3 linked regions of the Rattus norvegicus genome follow. The protein of the gene in region 1 interacts with the protein of each later gene in a pairwise test. Links are inferred from orthologs where the notes say so. Each region holds a gene or a part of one and is shown in the gene's direction. Other genes may lie near its edges.

What was found.
Region 2: the proteins of Copb2 (region 1) and Copa interact in a two-hybrid assay, tested with the Homo sapiens proteins (2 studies listed by BioGRID, with this or other methods). The link is inferred for Rattus norvegicus from reciprocal best matches to the Homo sapiens genes COPB2 and COPA.
Region 3: the proteins of Copb2 (region 1) and Copb1 interact in a two-hybrid assay, tested with the Homo sapiens proteins (2 studies listed by BioGRID, with this or other methods). The link is inferred for Rattus norvegicus from reciprocal best matches to the Homo sapiens genes COPB2 and COPB1.

Annotation. Positions count from the first base shown.
Region 1 is NC_086026.1:108,046,316-108,051,524, forward strand, and holds part of Copb2 (coatomer subunit beta'), read left to right. Parts: intron 1-925; coding exon 926-1,012; intron 1,013-1,214; coding exon 1,215-1,341; intron 1,342-2,139; coding exon 2,140-2,288; intron 2,289-4,174; coding exon 4,175-4,321; intron 4,322-4,786; coding exon 4,787-4,886; intron 4,887-5,209. UniProt on the Homo sapiens protein: The coatomer is a cytosolic protein complex that binds to dilysine motifs and reversibly associates with Golgi non-clathrin-coated vesicles, which further mediate biosynthetic protein transport from the ER, via the Golgi up to the trans Golgi network.
Region 2 is NC_086031.1:87,076,962-87,082,718, forward strand, and holds the start of Copa (coatomer subunit alpha), read left to right. Parts: upstream 1-1,906; 5' UTR 1,907-2,012; coding exon 2,013-2,052; intron 2,053-5,757. Other genes in the region: Ncstn (nicastrin precursor), read right to left, coding at 272-376, 1,705-1,786. UniProt on the Homo sapiens protein: The coatomer is a cytosolic protein complex that binds to dilysine motifs and reversibly associates with Golgi non-clathrin-coated vesicles, which further mediate biosynthetic protein transport from the ER, via the Golgi up to the trans Golgi network.
Region 3 is NC_086019.1:177,837,683-177,842,981, reverse strand, and holds the end of Copb1 (coatomer subunit beta), read left to right. Parts: intron 1-1,523; coding exon 1,524-1,669; intron 1,670-2,300; coding exon 2,301-2,390; intron 2,391-2,952; coding exon 2,953-3,108; intron 3,109-3,857; coding exon 3,858-3,917; 3' UTR 3,918-4,231; downstream 4,232-5,299. UniProt on the Homo sapiens protein: The coatomer is a cytosolic protein complex that binds to dilysine motifs and reversibly associates with Golgi non-clathrin-coated vesicles, which further mediate biosynthetic protein transport from the ER, via the Golgi up to the trans Golgi network.

The DNA of each region.
Region 1 (5,209 bases):
TAGGTCTCTTGAATTCCCACCTTTAATTCATGTAGATGATTCACTCTGAGCACCCAAAAAACATCTAAACCTCGTAGTTTTTATGCTTATTATTACAACAACTAAACACAAACTCTCAGCATTTTTTTCTGGAAATGTGTTGCTAAGATGTAAAAGCAACAACAACAACAAAAAAGAACAATAACAATAACAACAAAAACCAAAGAAAAAACAAACCAAAACAAAATAAAAAACAACCCAAAAAAACCCAAAACATCTTGTTGAGTCATTTCTATGGGTTCAATATTTTTTTTCTCTGAAACAAGGTCTCGCTATACAGCCCTAACTATCATAAAGCTCACTGTGTAGAGCAGGCTGGCCTTGAACTCTCAGCGATCTACCTGCCTCTGCCTTCAGGTGCTGGGATTAAAGGCTCATGCCAGCCACTATGCCTGGTTTATGGGCTCAATTTTTTAAAAAAGGAACCTAAGCTAAGAGACAATTCTCTCAACAGAGAGTGGAGTAAACTGCACAGCGGCTGAGTCACGAGCTGTTGTAGGTGTGGGCTGTACAATGGTCCTGCTTGGACAGTGTGGTGGGGAAGAGTGAGCATGGAGTCTAGCCTAGTGCTTGGCAGTGGTGCCAGAAGGGAGCAAATGGTTTCCTGGGTAGGTTTCCAGACAGGCGCGAAAGGCAACGCTGGAAAGGAGGGGCAGACCAGGACACAGGGTCTGGAGTGCCATCCGCCTTCTGACCATCTCTTCAAAGTTTCTGATTTTCAAATCTGCTGAAGAGAAGTTGATTGCCCCCCTCCCCCAATGTTGAGCTATCATTACATTTGTTTGACTAGAAATACTTCACAGACTGATGCTTTAATCCTAGCAGAATAAGACTCTTTAGTTACTTCTTCATAACTTAATGTGTCTATTCTTATTAACATTTCAAGACGCTGGTGAAGACCTTTGAAGTGTGTGATCTCCCTGTTCGAGCTGCGAAGTTTGTCGCAAGGAAGAACTGGGTGGTGACAGGAGCAGTAAGTAGCTCTGAGTATCAGATCCTACCCTCTCATTGGCCAGTGGTCATAGATACTAGTTACAGAGTTGTAATGCCTGGTTCATTAAGTTAATTAAACGTAGTATTCTGATGGTAGGAGGCTATACCTTGAGCTTGTAATACAGTTTAGTTGTGTATACAGTTTATCTCATATAGTGATGCTTTAAAATCTCCATTCCTAGGATGATATGCAGATTAGAGTGTTCAATTATAACACCCTGGAGAGGGTGCACATGTTTGAAGCACACTCGGATTACATCCGTTGCATTGCTGTTCATCCCACCCAGCCGTTCATTCTCACAAGCAGTGGTAAGAGACAACCTGCCTCAGTCCTGTGCACTGAGTAATGATTTGCTTCCCGAGACATGTTGTGCTTTAACTGCAGTGGCAAATGGAGCTCTCACTCCAAGCTTCTGTTAAACAATTTGAATCCATTACTGTGCTGTTGGTGCTGCCCACCTGTGTATTTTAGTATTTTAATAGGATTATATTGCAATTGCTCTAATTCCTGATGGAAAATTCGAAGGTCTAGAAGCATCTGTATCTGGGGAGCAGAAAGCGCATTAGAATGCTGATGAGCAGGCTGTTGGCAGATTGCCACAGGCTCTGTTGGTTTATCTGCATATGCAGACTAGCTAGCTCGCTCCCTGGTATTAGTGTAAAGCGACCCGCAGGAGGGCTGTTACCTGGGTATCCCTGAGTTGGTAGTAGTCTTTGAAATATTTATAAATTTAACAAGTGAGAACTTCTGTAAAAGCAGTTTATCTCATCAGGCAAATTCTGCCTCTTTCCACAGTCAGCTTTTTTAGCCAGACTTAGCCGGTAACCACTGGGGTTTTTTTGTTTGTTTGTTTAATTAAATTTAAGAAGTTGTCGTGTTTTTTGTATGTCTTTAGTAGCTGTCTATATGCACTTTGTCCGCACTGTTCTGTAGTCAGTATGCTCTGAGGTCAGGTAAGGACTTGAAGGACTTTCCCAGTATTAGTTCTATGGCATAGGTACTGGGACTGTGAACTATGCTACATGTGTTACCTTAAAACTCACTGAAACTGTCTTATTACAGAGATGAAAACAATCCACAACTGACTTGGCTCTCTTTTGGTATAGATGACATGCTTATTAAGCTCTGGGACTGGGACAAAAAATGGTCTTGTTCACAAGTGTTTGAAGGACACACGCATTATGTTATGCAGATTGTGATAAACCCCAAAGATAACAATCAGTTTGCCAGTGCCTCTCTCGACAGGACCATCAAGGTAGGTGTCCACTACGTTGGTGCGTTACTCTGGCTGGCCAGAAAGCCCCTGTGCTCCTGTGCCAGGCAGAAGCAACGCAGTAGAACATTGGTTTCCACTCTAGGATCTACAGTTAGAAGCACTGCCACGTTTCTAGGACACGTGTGTGTGTGTGTGTGTGTGTGTGTGTGTGTGTGTGTGTGTGTGTGTGAGAGAGAGAGAGAGTGTGTGTGTGTGTGTGTGTGTGTGAGAGAGAGAGAGAGAGAGAGTGTGTGTGTGTGTGTGTGTGTGTGTGTGTGTCCTTTAGTCATTCTTGTCTCCTCATCACTGGTCTGTTTTATATTTAAGTTCTTTCTGTTGCCATCCCCTCTTTCTGCCTCTTGCTGTGGACTGCTTGTCTTCAGGGTCTGTTTTGTTTATTTCCTGTTGGAGAATAAACTACAGATGTCTAAGAGTGAAATACAGGATGGTTAGGGCTAGCCTGGGCTGCTGATACAGACACCAATATGACTGACCTACTCGCTGTCCTCTAGCAATGCTCTGAGTGTTCACAGAGCAGTGCTTCATCAGCTCTCCCTCTGACTGCAGGTCTTTGCATTCTCGGATTTGAATTTATTTTTCTCTGAGCATCTTCATAGCTCTCTAAGGGTTAGCACAGATAGTCATTCTGAGAAAGTCCAGTCTAGCGCTCCAGTCTAGCGACTAATGGCTGTAGACAGAGTGTATGTCATTCCCTTTAGATTTTGTTTCTATTAACAGTCTTCACATTGAGTGATAATTCATGTAATTTAAAATCATTTATCCCTGTGATATCCTGGATATTTGGGATAGGAGCTGTGTCTCCCCTTGCACAGCCCCAAGGTGTTCTGGGAGAGTAGCACAGTACTTTGGCTCTACTGGATACTGACTATTTGTTGCCGTGAGTACAGTCAGATTTTCTCCATCCTCTCAGTACATTGACCTAAAATAAATTTCAAATCACATTACTTTTGCTTACACATTTGCTTACATGTATATAATATTTTTAGTAATTTAACTCATATAAGCTATTTTGTGTTTTAAGAGCTTCAGGTTTTTAACTTGACTTTGTTATCATTTGTTGAATTGCCCCTGCTTTTGACATAGATGGGAAACTGAGATCAGTTTTAACTTCTTCACTAAATTAAGTTTATCTGATTTTTTGAGTCAGGGTCTACAGTGTATGCTAAGGTGGCCTAGAATTTACTGTGTATCCACCCTACACTGGCTTCACATTCTTAATTCTCTCAGCTTCCCAGACACTGGGAACACAGGCGTGTGCCTCGCTCTCCCTGGCGAGCTCTTCCATTCTGACACATGCTACTCAGCACTAAGCTCCCATCCAATCAGGACCTAATTTAAAGTAGAGGTTTTCAAAGTGTTAATTTGTTCATTGATTCCTGCGCTTCACCTGTATACAGTTTTCTTAGTTTTCTTTCTGTTGCTGTGCTAAAACACTGACCAGCCATCATCCAAGGAAGTTGGGGAGGAACTCAAGGCAGGAACCTGGAGGTAAAATGAGCAGAGCTATGGAAGAACACCGTTCATTGGCTCGCTCCTCATGATTTGCTCAGCCTGCTTTCTTGGGTGGCACCATCATGCCTCCAAAGGCTTACTACAGGCCAGTCTGATGGAGGCATTTTCTCAGTTGAATCCCCTCTTCCCAGATAAGTACTTATGTCAAGTTGAGAAAAACATAACAGGGTCAACAACTGAACTATATCTATAATCTCCATGGAGAAGTGATTCTGCTTTCTAAAAATTATCATGAGACCAGAGCAAATATCCTGGAACACTGTGTCTTGGGCTGTGGTGTTTGATGTCTTGTGTTGAAAGCGGGGGAACTGCCTCTGAAAGTGCTGACTGGCAGATGCCTCTGTTCTCTGAAGGTGTGGCAGCTGGGCTCTTCATCACCAAACTTCACGCTGGAGGGACATGAAAAAGGCGTGAATTGCATTGATTACTACAGTGGTGGTGATAAGCCATACCTCATTTCAGGTGCAGATGACCGGCTCGTTAAAATATGGGATTATCAGGTACAGTTTCTATAACCTTCCGTGCTGTATGCTAGGCAGGTCTTCACTGCTTCCGATAGCACCTAAGACGGAACTCTTCACAGAGTCATAGGTTAAGGCCCCAGTATTTACAGCTAAATTGTGGTCCTAGAATTTTCCCCTTTATAAAAAAGAATGCAAATGCATTTTAAGATTTTAAAAATAAGATGCCAGCATGCTTATTGTTTGTTTAAAACCGTCATATTAAACCACGCATCTTTGAGTGTCCATGTTACCAGACTTCTGTATCTGAGTGAAACAGACACAACAGTGAGTGTTGTGAGGTAACCGTGGTACACATTTCACCATGGGAGCAGTCATAAACCAAGTTATTACCCACATTGCTATGCTTTGTGTCTCTAAGGCTTCCTTACACCCCTCCCCCTTTGCTTCTAACATGAGTTTCCCAACAGTAGAACATAGTAACTTTCTGTGTCTTGATTTCAGAATAAAACTTGTGTGCAGACCCTGGAGGGACATGCCCAGAATGTGTCATGCGCAAGCTTCCATCCTGAGCTGCCCATCATCATCACAGGGTCAGAAGACGGTAAGTTAGAGTCTGTTATATGTGTGCTTGGCATGACTCACTGCATATTTAAATCAAGTGGTGGCCCTGCATGGCACTGGGCGGTTTCTAGCAGTTTCCATATCTTGATTAGGATTCTAGACTTAAAATACAGAAGAATAAAAGGGTTTTATCATCATCACCATTCTAATGACTTTCGACTCTATCATTTAAAGATAAGGACATCAAGTATTCTAGAAAAGAACTGAAAAGGCCTGTGCATTGGAGTTTGACAGACTTGGTTCAAAATCAGGCCCTGTCACTTTGCAAATGTATGGTTTGGATAGACTAAGAGATAAGAATGT
Region 2 (5,757 bases), on another chromosome or scaffold:
GTAAAGAGATCCGATGCCCTCTTCTGGTGTATCTGAAGACAGCTACAGTGTACTTATATATAATAAATAAATAAATCTTAAAAAAAAAAATAGCATTTACTAAATTCCGCCTCTTATTATCTTGCCTGGTTGGACGGATGATAAACACCTCCTAGACATCTACTCTAATTTGAACACCAGGACTCCTGAGCAGGACATGAGTACTTCTGAGTATCCAGGATACAAACTGAATTATTAATGGCCACAAACACAAATCCCAAGTTCAACTTACACTGGCAGCCAATCTGATGAGTGGCATTGAGCAGGCGGACACAAGGAGCTGTTTTATTTAAGGGAATGTAGATCTTCCTCTCCACTGAGTTTCCCCCACACAATCCTGACCGGAAGATAAAATGTGTTAGGCAAAAGTGAAAGATATTTGTATTAACCTCTACCATCATCAGCTTGATTCATGTTTAGGTAAATTGTTCACTACCGCACTGTCTAACACGAGAGTTATGATCATTCTTCTTACTACTTGACCACATTATTGGAGCATTAAGAGTTGTAAAGACTACCTAGCTGTGTATCTTAGAAAGTTATTGAACTCCATGGTGATCAATTAACTATAAGCTAAAAGATGATTGTCCAAAGTCTTTGACTTCAGATGTGCCAGCGTCTAGTTGCAAGGGTAAACAAATCTGCTTTTCTAATTTGTATAGATACATTACTAATTAGTTATGAAAAGAGCTCTGGTTTAAGAATATTGATTACCAAAACCAAACAAAGAAAAGCATTAACAACAATAAAAACCACCTCAGAATCTGAACAGACCTGGGGGGAAGAAACCTTATGCCACACACCTGTTCAGTTAATGAAACATCAGACCATTTGGGAGCACACCTAGAGTATGGGGCAGCTACAGTTTCTCCCTTGAAGCTAGTCAAAAGCAATATGAGTGTAGAGAAATATAGAGTCATGGTTATACAAGGAAATGGTTGCATTTCAGGGCTTAACTGGTAAGCCATACATTTCCAAAAAAGTATAGCTTTTCTTAACTCTTAGTTGAACGCATTATAAATAATTACAGGTGTGTTACTGATTGTAATTCACAATTGCAAGATCACTTAAATAGACATTAGATTAGAAAAAACGAAAATATTCATATACATTAAACGTCTTAAATTCCTTGAATCATTACTTTCCTCTTAACAGTTTAGAGCAGCGAAGCTAACGTTAGCCTCACTTTAATAAGTAAAGAGAATAAGGAACACAACTTTAAGCTAGAACCAACAGGAGGAAATGAGAGCTCTTATTTTGCAACGTTGCACGGAGACCACAAAACAAGACTGTTTTGATCTAAAAAAACACTAAACCAAAGGAAAGAGGATGAGCTTTTCACACCTGTCCCTTTTAATTGCTGTTGGGGTGGCTGGGCTTTAAATAAAACAAGGCATACAAGGCATGCGAATAAGGTTGAAGAGAAGCAGGTTGGAAACCCAGAAAAGGGCTGGGGAGAACTAAGCGAAACGACATGCCTCCGGAGAGAAGAAATGAAGGTTCAGGTAAAGGAGGAACTTATGTCATGGGAACGAAAGACAAGAAGGATTTACAGGGCTGGGGACAGAGGGGAAATCGGAACCAGAAGGGCAACGCTTGCACTTGCGACGAGCTGTTCCGCACGGTTCCTCTTAAAGATCAGAGGTCCGGGTGGGGTGACCTCACCTGCTAGTACCACGGAAAAAGACAGAAGAAGGAGACCCCGACTTCCTGGGTCAGGCCCAGAGCCGCCCCTAGCCGTAGCCATCTTGCCTCTCCGCTGGGCGGAAGCCTCGGGTCCCTTCCAGTCTCTTAGCGGTCTCTCTAGGCTTCCGCTGGCATCGTCTCTGTGGCCCAGCGCTCCCCAAACCGGAAGTTCGTGTCTGAGGAGCTTCCGGGAGCCGCGACCTGGGGTAGCTGACGTGGAGCCTTTGGGAGTGCAACCGGGAGCGGCGGGATCCGCTAATCTGACCTGGGAGCCGAAGGCCTGAAGGATGCTAACCAAATTCGAGACCAAAAGCGCGCGGGTGAAAGGTAGTGAAGAAGAAGAGGGGAACTACGGAGGTTGGATGGTAGGGGAGGTGCTGTCACCAAGGAAGAGAGAATGGGAGGACCCGTTGACCGAATTGGGCCTACTGGAAGAGCCCAGAGGAATAACCGAGGGGAGGCGGGTTAGGGTTAGTGGAGTCTCTGCAGTCTGCACTGCTTAGTGGGTCCTGGGACTTGGATTTACTCGTGTCATGGTTCGTTTGTGTTTTGTAGGAGAGCTCTTAGGCCCACTTCCTATTCTTTCCGTCCATTTCTTATGGGGGTGTGTTCCAGCTCTTTCTTTTCTTAAGGTCTTGTGACTTGTACGCTTTTTGATGACCATGTTGTATGGAGTACTTTTGGGGATTGATTCTCACCTTCTGTCACTGTAGCTTTTTCCGGAGTCAGTCACTGGCTACTCCAGTAGCCTGTCTGCACCATTTTAATGTCCAGCGCTTCCGTTGGACTTTTTTTTTTTTTTTCTTTTTTGCCTATTTGGAATTAGGGAACGTAAAGCCCTGCTACTGGTAGGATTGTCCGATGAAATACAAGATGCTTTGTATTAGATTTGAATACTAGATAAACAATTTTTTTGATAATCTGAAAGACAAAGGCCTGAGATCACACTCTTTCAAAATGTTGATGTTAGAAAAGCAGGGAATTAAGTCTACAGAAATCTGATAAAAATATATCTGGAATATTTTGTAATATGCATTATAGTAAAGTGGTTTAGAATGTGTTCATTGGAGTCAATCGAACTTGCTTAGGAATTCTGAAACATCTAAACAAGCCACCTTATGTGGCTTACTTAACTACTTCTAAATCTCTATATGCTTATCTTTAAAAATAAGGATAATTAACATTTTCTTATAGAGAATTAAAATGAGAAAGTATATTAATGTGATTATGATATGCCTTGGCCAGACTTAGTACCTCAAAAACTGGAGGCTATTTAATGTGAGACTATATTCTGAGAAGTTTCTAAGTCTCATGGGAAATTTGATTGTAAAGGGTGCCATTAAGAATTCTCAGTACCACCAGGGTTACACAGAGAGACCCTGTCTCAAAATGGCAAGAAAGAAAGAAGAGAAAAGAATCATCATCTCTGGTGCCAGTCATGATGGCTTTAATCCCAGCACTCAGGAGCCAGATGAGGGTGGATCTCTGTGAGTTGGAGGCCACCTGGTCTACATATCTAGTGACAAGCCTACACACTGAGACCCTATCCCCACTCCACCCCCCCAAAAAAGGTGCTATGGGCTGGAGAGAAGGCTCGGTTAACAAAATTTACTGTTCTTGAAGAGGACCTGAATTTGGTTCCTAGTTCAACAGCTCACATCCACCTGTAATTCCAGTTCCTGGTGACCTGACCCCTCTTCTGGACTCTGTGGGCACCTGAACTTCCATGTACATATACATAATTAAAAGAACAAACAAAAACCAGCTTCTGGTATTTAAGTAGTTGAAATGAGTCTTCATTTTCGATGAGCTCTTTTCAGCTTTCTTCTTGGGTACTAGAAAGGGGTGGGGGAAATCAGTACTTGAGAGTTCATTAAGAGTGCTGGATCAGAGCCGAGAGGGCATACTGTCCCTACAGAGTTTGGTTCCCATCACTCAAGGCATGTGGCTCGCTGCTGCCGGTAACTCCAGCTCCACAGGCTCCAGTGCCCTCTTCTGCCTCAGGCACCTACATTTCTGTGCACATAACCTCTGCACAGGTACCCACAATTAAAAATATAAAAGTGCTACGTTGGATGTAGTGGTTCATATCTGTAAATCCTAGCTCGTGAGAAGCTGAGGCAGGAGAATTGCTACAAATTGAGACTACATAATGAGGCCTGTCTCAGGAGGGGTTCACGTATATCATAAAAATAAAGGAAACCAAGGCCCTGGGTTCGGTCCCCAGCTCCGAAAAAAAAAATAAAAATAAAAATAAAGAAAACATCATACAAAATAAGTGTTTTCATTAACTTGCTATTAGAGTATATTCCTCTAATGCTTTTACAGCTAAGCAATAGCTACCAGAGTTGGCTGCGGTGACTCACACCTGTAATCCCAGCACATGGGACACTAAGGCAAGAGGGTCCCTGCAAGTTGGGAGACCAGTCTAGACTACAAAGTGAGGCCATGTTGTAAAAGACCCTAATGTTCCTGGTGCGATAAGGCAGGCAGATCTCTGAGTCTGAGGCCAGCCTGCACTGAACAGCTAAGACTACACAGAGAAACTTTAGCTCTGAAAAAAACTTGAAAAAAATTACCAAAACTTTTTTTTTTCTTTTCTTTTTTTCGGAGCTGGGGACCAAACCCAGGGCCTTGCGCTTGCTAGGCAAGTGCTCTACCACTGAGCTAAATCCCCAACCCCAAATTACCAAAACTTTAAACGTACATGTTCTAAGCCAGTGGGCTGATGGCTCAGTGGGTAAGGGTGCCTGTCACCAAGGCTTGATTCCCCATGACCACATGGTGGAATAAGAAAGCTGATTCTCTAGGGGCTGGGGATTTAGCTCAGTGGTAGAGCGCTTACCTAGGAAGCGCAAGGCCCTGGGTTCGGTCCCCAGCTCCGAAAAAAAGAACCAAAAAAAAAAAAAAAAAAAAAAAGAAAGCTGATTCTCATACATGTGTGCATTTAGACACAAACATATTTAGACACAAACATATATACACACCCACAAGTAAATGTTACACAAATTTTTTAATGGACATAATCTATCTTATAGCCATTCAGTTTTCAAGTGTTTAGCCTAAAGCACTATTAAAGCAATTGGCCAATATTATCTATAGAAGTATCTTCAGTAGACATTTTTGTTGGTTTGGTTTGGTTTGTGTCCCCCCCCCCCACTCCCCTCCAGACAAAATTTCTCTATGTAGCCCTGGCTTGCCCAGAACTTACTATGTAGATCAGGCTGGCCTTGAACTCAGATCTGCCTGCCTCTGCCTCCCAAGGAAATAAAGGCGTGTGTCACAACCACCTGGCTTCAGTAACTGTTTTATTTTAATAGCCAGAAACTAAAGGTGAATTCAAGTGTTTCCTAAGAGTAAGGCTTTGTTGTTGTTGTTGTTTGTATTGTTTATTTTGTCTTTTAAAGACCGTGTCTCACTATTTACACCATGTGGCCTCAAACTCACAGTATTTCTGTTTCAGCCTCCCAGATGCGGGATTATAGGTGTATAGTACCATGCCCAGCTTGTGAGTGTGTGTGGGTGTGCATGTACACACACTCGTGATCATACACAGAGCTAGATAAGCCAATCTTCTTCCACTGAAGTAAATCTCCATCTTCAAATCAGCTTAAAATGTGATAGACTGGTGAGATGGCTCAGTGGTTAAGGTGCTTAGCCCAAGGCTAATGACCTGAGTTCAGTCCCCAGGGCCCATATGGTAGAAGGAGGGAATTGACACCTGCAAGTTGTCCTCACACATGCAGTGCGGCTTGTGTGTACCCACGTGAAAACTTGTCATGCACACAGAGTAAATAAGCATCATTAAAAATGTTGTGTAGTGCCCTTGTTCCCTACAGCTGTACAAAAGAATGAGTTTCTGTTAACTGAAGTATAAAAAGATTTACATCAGATATTTAAGTAAGAAAGGTTTCCAAAATAGCAACATAATTCCATGTTCGTAAGTAATAAAGCACTTCAGGCTGTTAACAGGGCTTTCTTCTAGTATTTCCCTTTGTCATTCTGATGGAGTAACAAGGACTAGGTTGTTTT
Region 3 (5,299 bases), on another chromosome or scaffold:
GCAATTTCTGTTATGGGATAGACTACTGTAGTGAGGAACAGATCCTTCTTCAGATGCTTAAGGTCAAGTAAGGGGAAACAGGTATGCAAAATACGTATTTTCACACATGATGCTGAATGCTGTGAAGGAAGCCTGTATGAGAAGCAGTGTGTGAGTCCATGAAGGGATTTGGTCAGTCCTCAAAGGGTTGTAAGGGATTGGAATGTTCGGAAAGGCTTCACAGTGCATGTTGAGTTGGATTTTAAACAGTCAGTAAGTAATCCACAGAGGATTACGAGTACAAGCAGAGCAAATGCACGTAGAACGATGTGCTGAGCACTTAGAGTGCAAAGTGAGTTAGGAAGTCAGGGAAGCTGACCCCGCTTGCCCTGCGAAACAGGAAGACACTGGAGGGTGACAAATGAGATGTGTGATTAACTGTTTCTGTGATAGCAGTACAAATGGTAACTCTGTAGAAGATACTGGAAGATTGCCTGAGTAGGCTATTGCAGAAACCAAGTGAGAGGGGAGAGCCCTAAACTGACAGAGCAGTGCTTAGAGTAGAAAGGAGGGAGGAGGTAGTGTGCTTTAGGGATATGTCTTTAGGTACAGAACTGTTAACTAAAGGAAGACAGTTTTGGTAATCCTGTCTTCCCTGAAAGTAAAAAGAGAACTTAGATCCCTATCAGAGTATAACTTCAAATTTAGGCTTTTTTGTTTTCGGGGTTTTTTTTGGGAGGAGGCGGTGCTGGCTGGCTGGTTGGTTGGTTGGTTGGTTGGTTAGTTGGTTGATTGGTTGATTTTCTTGAGACACGGTTTCTCTGTGTATCCCTGGCTGTCCTGAAACTCATTTTGTAGACCAGGCTGGCCTCGAACTTGGAGATCAGTTTGCCTCTGCCTCCCAAATGTTGGGATTAAAGGTGTATACCACCACCTAACTTTGCTTTTGTTGAGACAGAGTAACCCAGACTAGACTCAAATAAAGTAATAAATACTTCTGCTTCAGTTCCAGCTTCTGGGATTATAGGCATGTATCATCACAACCATCCCAGATTATGTCTTTCTAGGGAAGAGACAGTCTTAGATAATCTTATATTACTAAATTTCACCAACATATAACCAAATATTAGGAGGAAAAGGTTTGGATTTATAACTAGGTCCCAACTATGAGAATACTGAACTATTTGTATGTCTAGTGTAGTACCTGGCCCATTATAGCTGAGATATATATATATATATATATATATATATATATATATATATATATATAAACAACAAGAGACAAAGTGTACCTGAGCCTAAGGTCTAACTCCTAAGTCCTATCGCTTACCAGTTCTGTAACCTGAGGAAACTTATTTGACTTACCTGCTTTCCTAATTTGTGAGATGGAAAATAGTAAGGTAGGATTGATGGCGCTATTCAGTTGGTAATATTTATAAAGCACTTAGAATCTAGTATATATAAATATTTGCTAATGTCATAAATATTTGTTATTTTGAACTAGCATCTACCCTTTTGATCGGGACTCTTTATGTTTATTACAGTTTATGATGTCTCTGGAGCAGCAAGTGACAGAAACTGTGTGGTCCTCAGTGACATCCACATTGACATCATGGACTATATCCAGCCTGCAACTTGCACTGATGCTGAGTTCCGTCAGATGTGGGCCGAATTTGAATGGGAAAATAAAGTTAGTCGTTGAGAGGTTTCCTATGCAGTTCTTCCTTATGACTAGTGATGAGGGTTTTTTTAAAGTCATTCCCCCCAAAAAGCATAAGAAGTGAGAAGCAAACAGTTCTTCATTATGTGTTCCTGTGTATTATCTTAACGAGAAACCATGCAAGTACTTTGGTAATTCCGTGTGGTGAATGGCAGTTCTTTTTGGAATCTTGTGATGGTATCTTGCTCTCTAGCCTAGTCAAGTCTCCAGTGCCCAACCTTCTTGCCCATGTCATCTTGGCACAGACACTAGAGTGTGCATCACCACACCTAGCAAGTCATAACTCTGTAACTACTTTGGTTGAGACCGTGTAGACAAGATCCCTCCTGTGCTGTGTCGGGATGATAATCTACCATTGGCTCTCGTATCCTCAAGGCTGTGCGAAGTCTGTGGCCCAGTGGGAAACTTTGCCCCCTAAGTTTTCTGTGAACTCTGTGTCTCTTTGACGGTCTAGGGAGGTATCTGTCTGGAAGCCCTGCCATGCCAGCTGCTTTCGTAGCAGTCATTACTTTTTTATTGCCCTTCTTCCCTCCATAGTTGGCAGAAAGCTGTAGGATGAAATGGCTGTGACGCACAGTTTACTGAGTCCTCTCCTCTGCAGGTGACAGTTAACACCAACGTGACTGACCTGAATGATTATTTACAGCACATCCTCAAGTCCACCAACATGAAGTGCCTGACTCCAGAGAAGGTAGGAGGAGGCTAGAAGAGGTGAAATTCTATAAAAAGTCTATAAAAAAAAGTTTCTGTTAATGCCATAATGTGCATCTTCCTAATAAGAAAATGTCAGCTGTCATCTGGGGTGTGTAGCTCAGTGACAGAATGTTTGTTTAGCAGCACGCACGCACGCACGCACGTACACATACATGGGGGTGGGGCCGGGGGCGGGGGTGGGGTGTGGGTTTACTGCCAAATTAGTAGATTTTGTAGATTAGTTTCTTCAACAGTTTTTAAGTCCAACAAAAGAAGCCTTTCTTTATGGAAGTTAAAAGCCTGATACAGGAGACAAATAAGTAAATCAGAACAGAATATGTAAATATAAATTTGAATAAGTACTCTTAAAACTATAGAATGCACAGGGAATTCTTAAATTTTTATACATATATTTATTTTGAGTTTTGGCAAACTTATTAGCTCCTATACCAAGCACCACGTAAGTAAAGTTTTAAGTAATAGTTTGCATGTATATTGAGTTTGCCAAGGTATTATAGTTCTCTAGCCAAGTACTGGATCTATCACACATTTCTTCCCAGGCCCTTTCTGGCTACTGTGGCTTCATGGCAGCCAACCTATATGCTCGCTCTATATTTGGAGAGGATGCACTTGCAAATGTCAGCATTGAGAAGCCAGTTCACCAGGGACCAGATGCTGCTGTTACTGGCCATATAAGAATTCGTGCAAAAAGTCAGGTAATAACATCCTTTTTTGAGAACATCTCTGCACCAAATAGAGGAAGAATTCATATATGTCTTATTTCTGTGATAAATTTCTTCTGTCATAATTATGTTTTGTGCCTGAGATAAATATATACATACATACATATGCATGGTATTTTCTGAGGTTTAATTCATTTAAAATGGCTTATCTACCATATTGCCTAAAACATCGATTCCTGAGTGATGTTTGTTTTTCTTTTTTCTTTTTTTTTTTTTTTTTAAGATTTATTTAACGTACAGCATTCTGCCTGCATATGTGACTGCAGGTCAGAAGAGGGCACCAGATCTCATTACAGACGGTTGTGAGCCACCATGTGGTTGCTGGGATTTGAACTCAGGACCTCTGGAAGAGCAGTCAGTGCTCTTAACCACTGAGCCATCTCTCCAGCCCTCTGAGTGATGTTTGTGAAACAGATTCTATAGAGTTGTTTAACAGATAAGGCATCAGTCTAACACAAACCAACATCACTAAAATCAACCAGTAAACGTTTTTGGAGTCTGTCTTTATATCCTTTGTTTTGTTGTTGAATGTGACGTCGTCATCCAATGGAGGCGTAGTTAGGCTGTGCAGCCTGTTTGGGCATTGTTTCAGTAATCACTGTTGTTGACTCTGGGAATGTAACTCAGTCTTGGGAATACTCTCCTAGCATGTGTAGACCATGAGTTAATCCCAACATCACAAAACCAGATAAAAATATAAACATCTTCATTCTTCTTTGCAGGGAATGGCCTTGAGCCTTGGAGATAAAATCAACCTGTCTCAAAAGAAGACTAGTCTCTAAGAATGAACAAACGGTCCTCGAAAGTGTAAGGTTAAAATTTAGGTGTGGGCTGATTGGACTCCGACGTTTTTGTACTCTTTCATGCTTTATGCTTGTAGAATTTGAGTTCATGCTGAATTCATTCCAGCCCGTAATTTATAGCCTTTCCCCTAAATCAAGAATGAGTTTAAAATTATAGTTTGTCTTTTATCTTAACAGTTCTGAATGCTGTCCTCAAAGTATATAAAGTTCCTCATATGTACCAAGACCATTTTCACAATAAACAGATCTGTTCATAAATTTTTGTTATTTTATAAATAAATTACTTAATTTTAGATTTGTATCAGTGGAATTTCTTCTTTTTTTTACCTGGCCTATATTTATGAAGAGAGTTACAAAGTGAGTGACCTAAAATGGAGCGGGTACTGGTTTAGTGCATTATTGTTCCCTCATTTTCTGTAATGACATTAGTGTCTCTAAAACTCTAGGGTCTCAAACTTTGCTTCAAGGAAAAAGTATCCAAATTACCTGAGAAAAGTGTCTTTGGCTTAAAGGAGCTGTAAGACTCTGACTGCCATACTATTCTTGATGATCCTGAATTATTATGGAAATTAGATCATCTAAAATCAGTGTGAAAATTCATGCACATTCAGCATTGGGTGTTTGTGCTTGTTAGTAATTACAGTGGCTCTAGCCAGTGACAGACTGCACTGGGAGGATTAGCTTTGGGGGATTCAGCAGCTGTTCCGTTTCCAAATGGCCTCTGTTTTTCACTCCTTCCCTACTGTTCATAACTTCACTGGGCTAAGCAACACACACCCCTCATTATGACTCCACTTGTTTGTGAGTGCAGTGTCCCAGGCCCTGCCATTCTTTGGGCTCTGTACTAGGAATGATTGAGATAGACTGAGTTTTGCCAAATCTCAGCTTAAGCTATTACTTTGTCTTTCCTCCAGGGCTTCATCCTTCATTCCCCACAAGTCCATAGATAAGAGCTGAGGCAGAATGGAAATGACATCCTGTGTTGTCAGTGAGAACAGAATGATTTGTTGGGCCTGTAAGAAGATTAATACTTTGTATGATATCATAAATTTTGAAACCACTTACTGTTTTAGTCAGCAAACCAGAGAATTACAGGACATTTGCAGTCTTAGAGCACTGAGATCTTTAAACGCAGTCATAGCTGCCAACTAGGAGAGATACAAGGACTGTGGGAAAGGAGTCATTTTGATACAGAGTCAAAGGGTGGAGATAACTTGATGGGAGTTGAGGAATGATTGCATTAGATCAGTTCCCACACTGTTCTTTTGAACATGGGTTTCATTAAGCGACATTGGACATTCTGAAAGAAAAAGGGTCCACAGCTAGTAATTTAAGGAATGCTACATATAGTCCTTACTAAA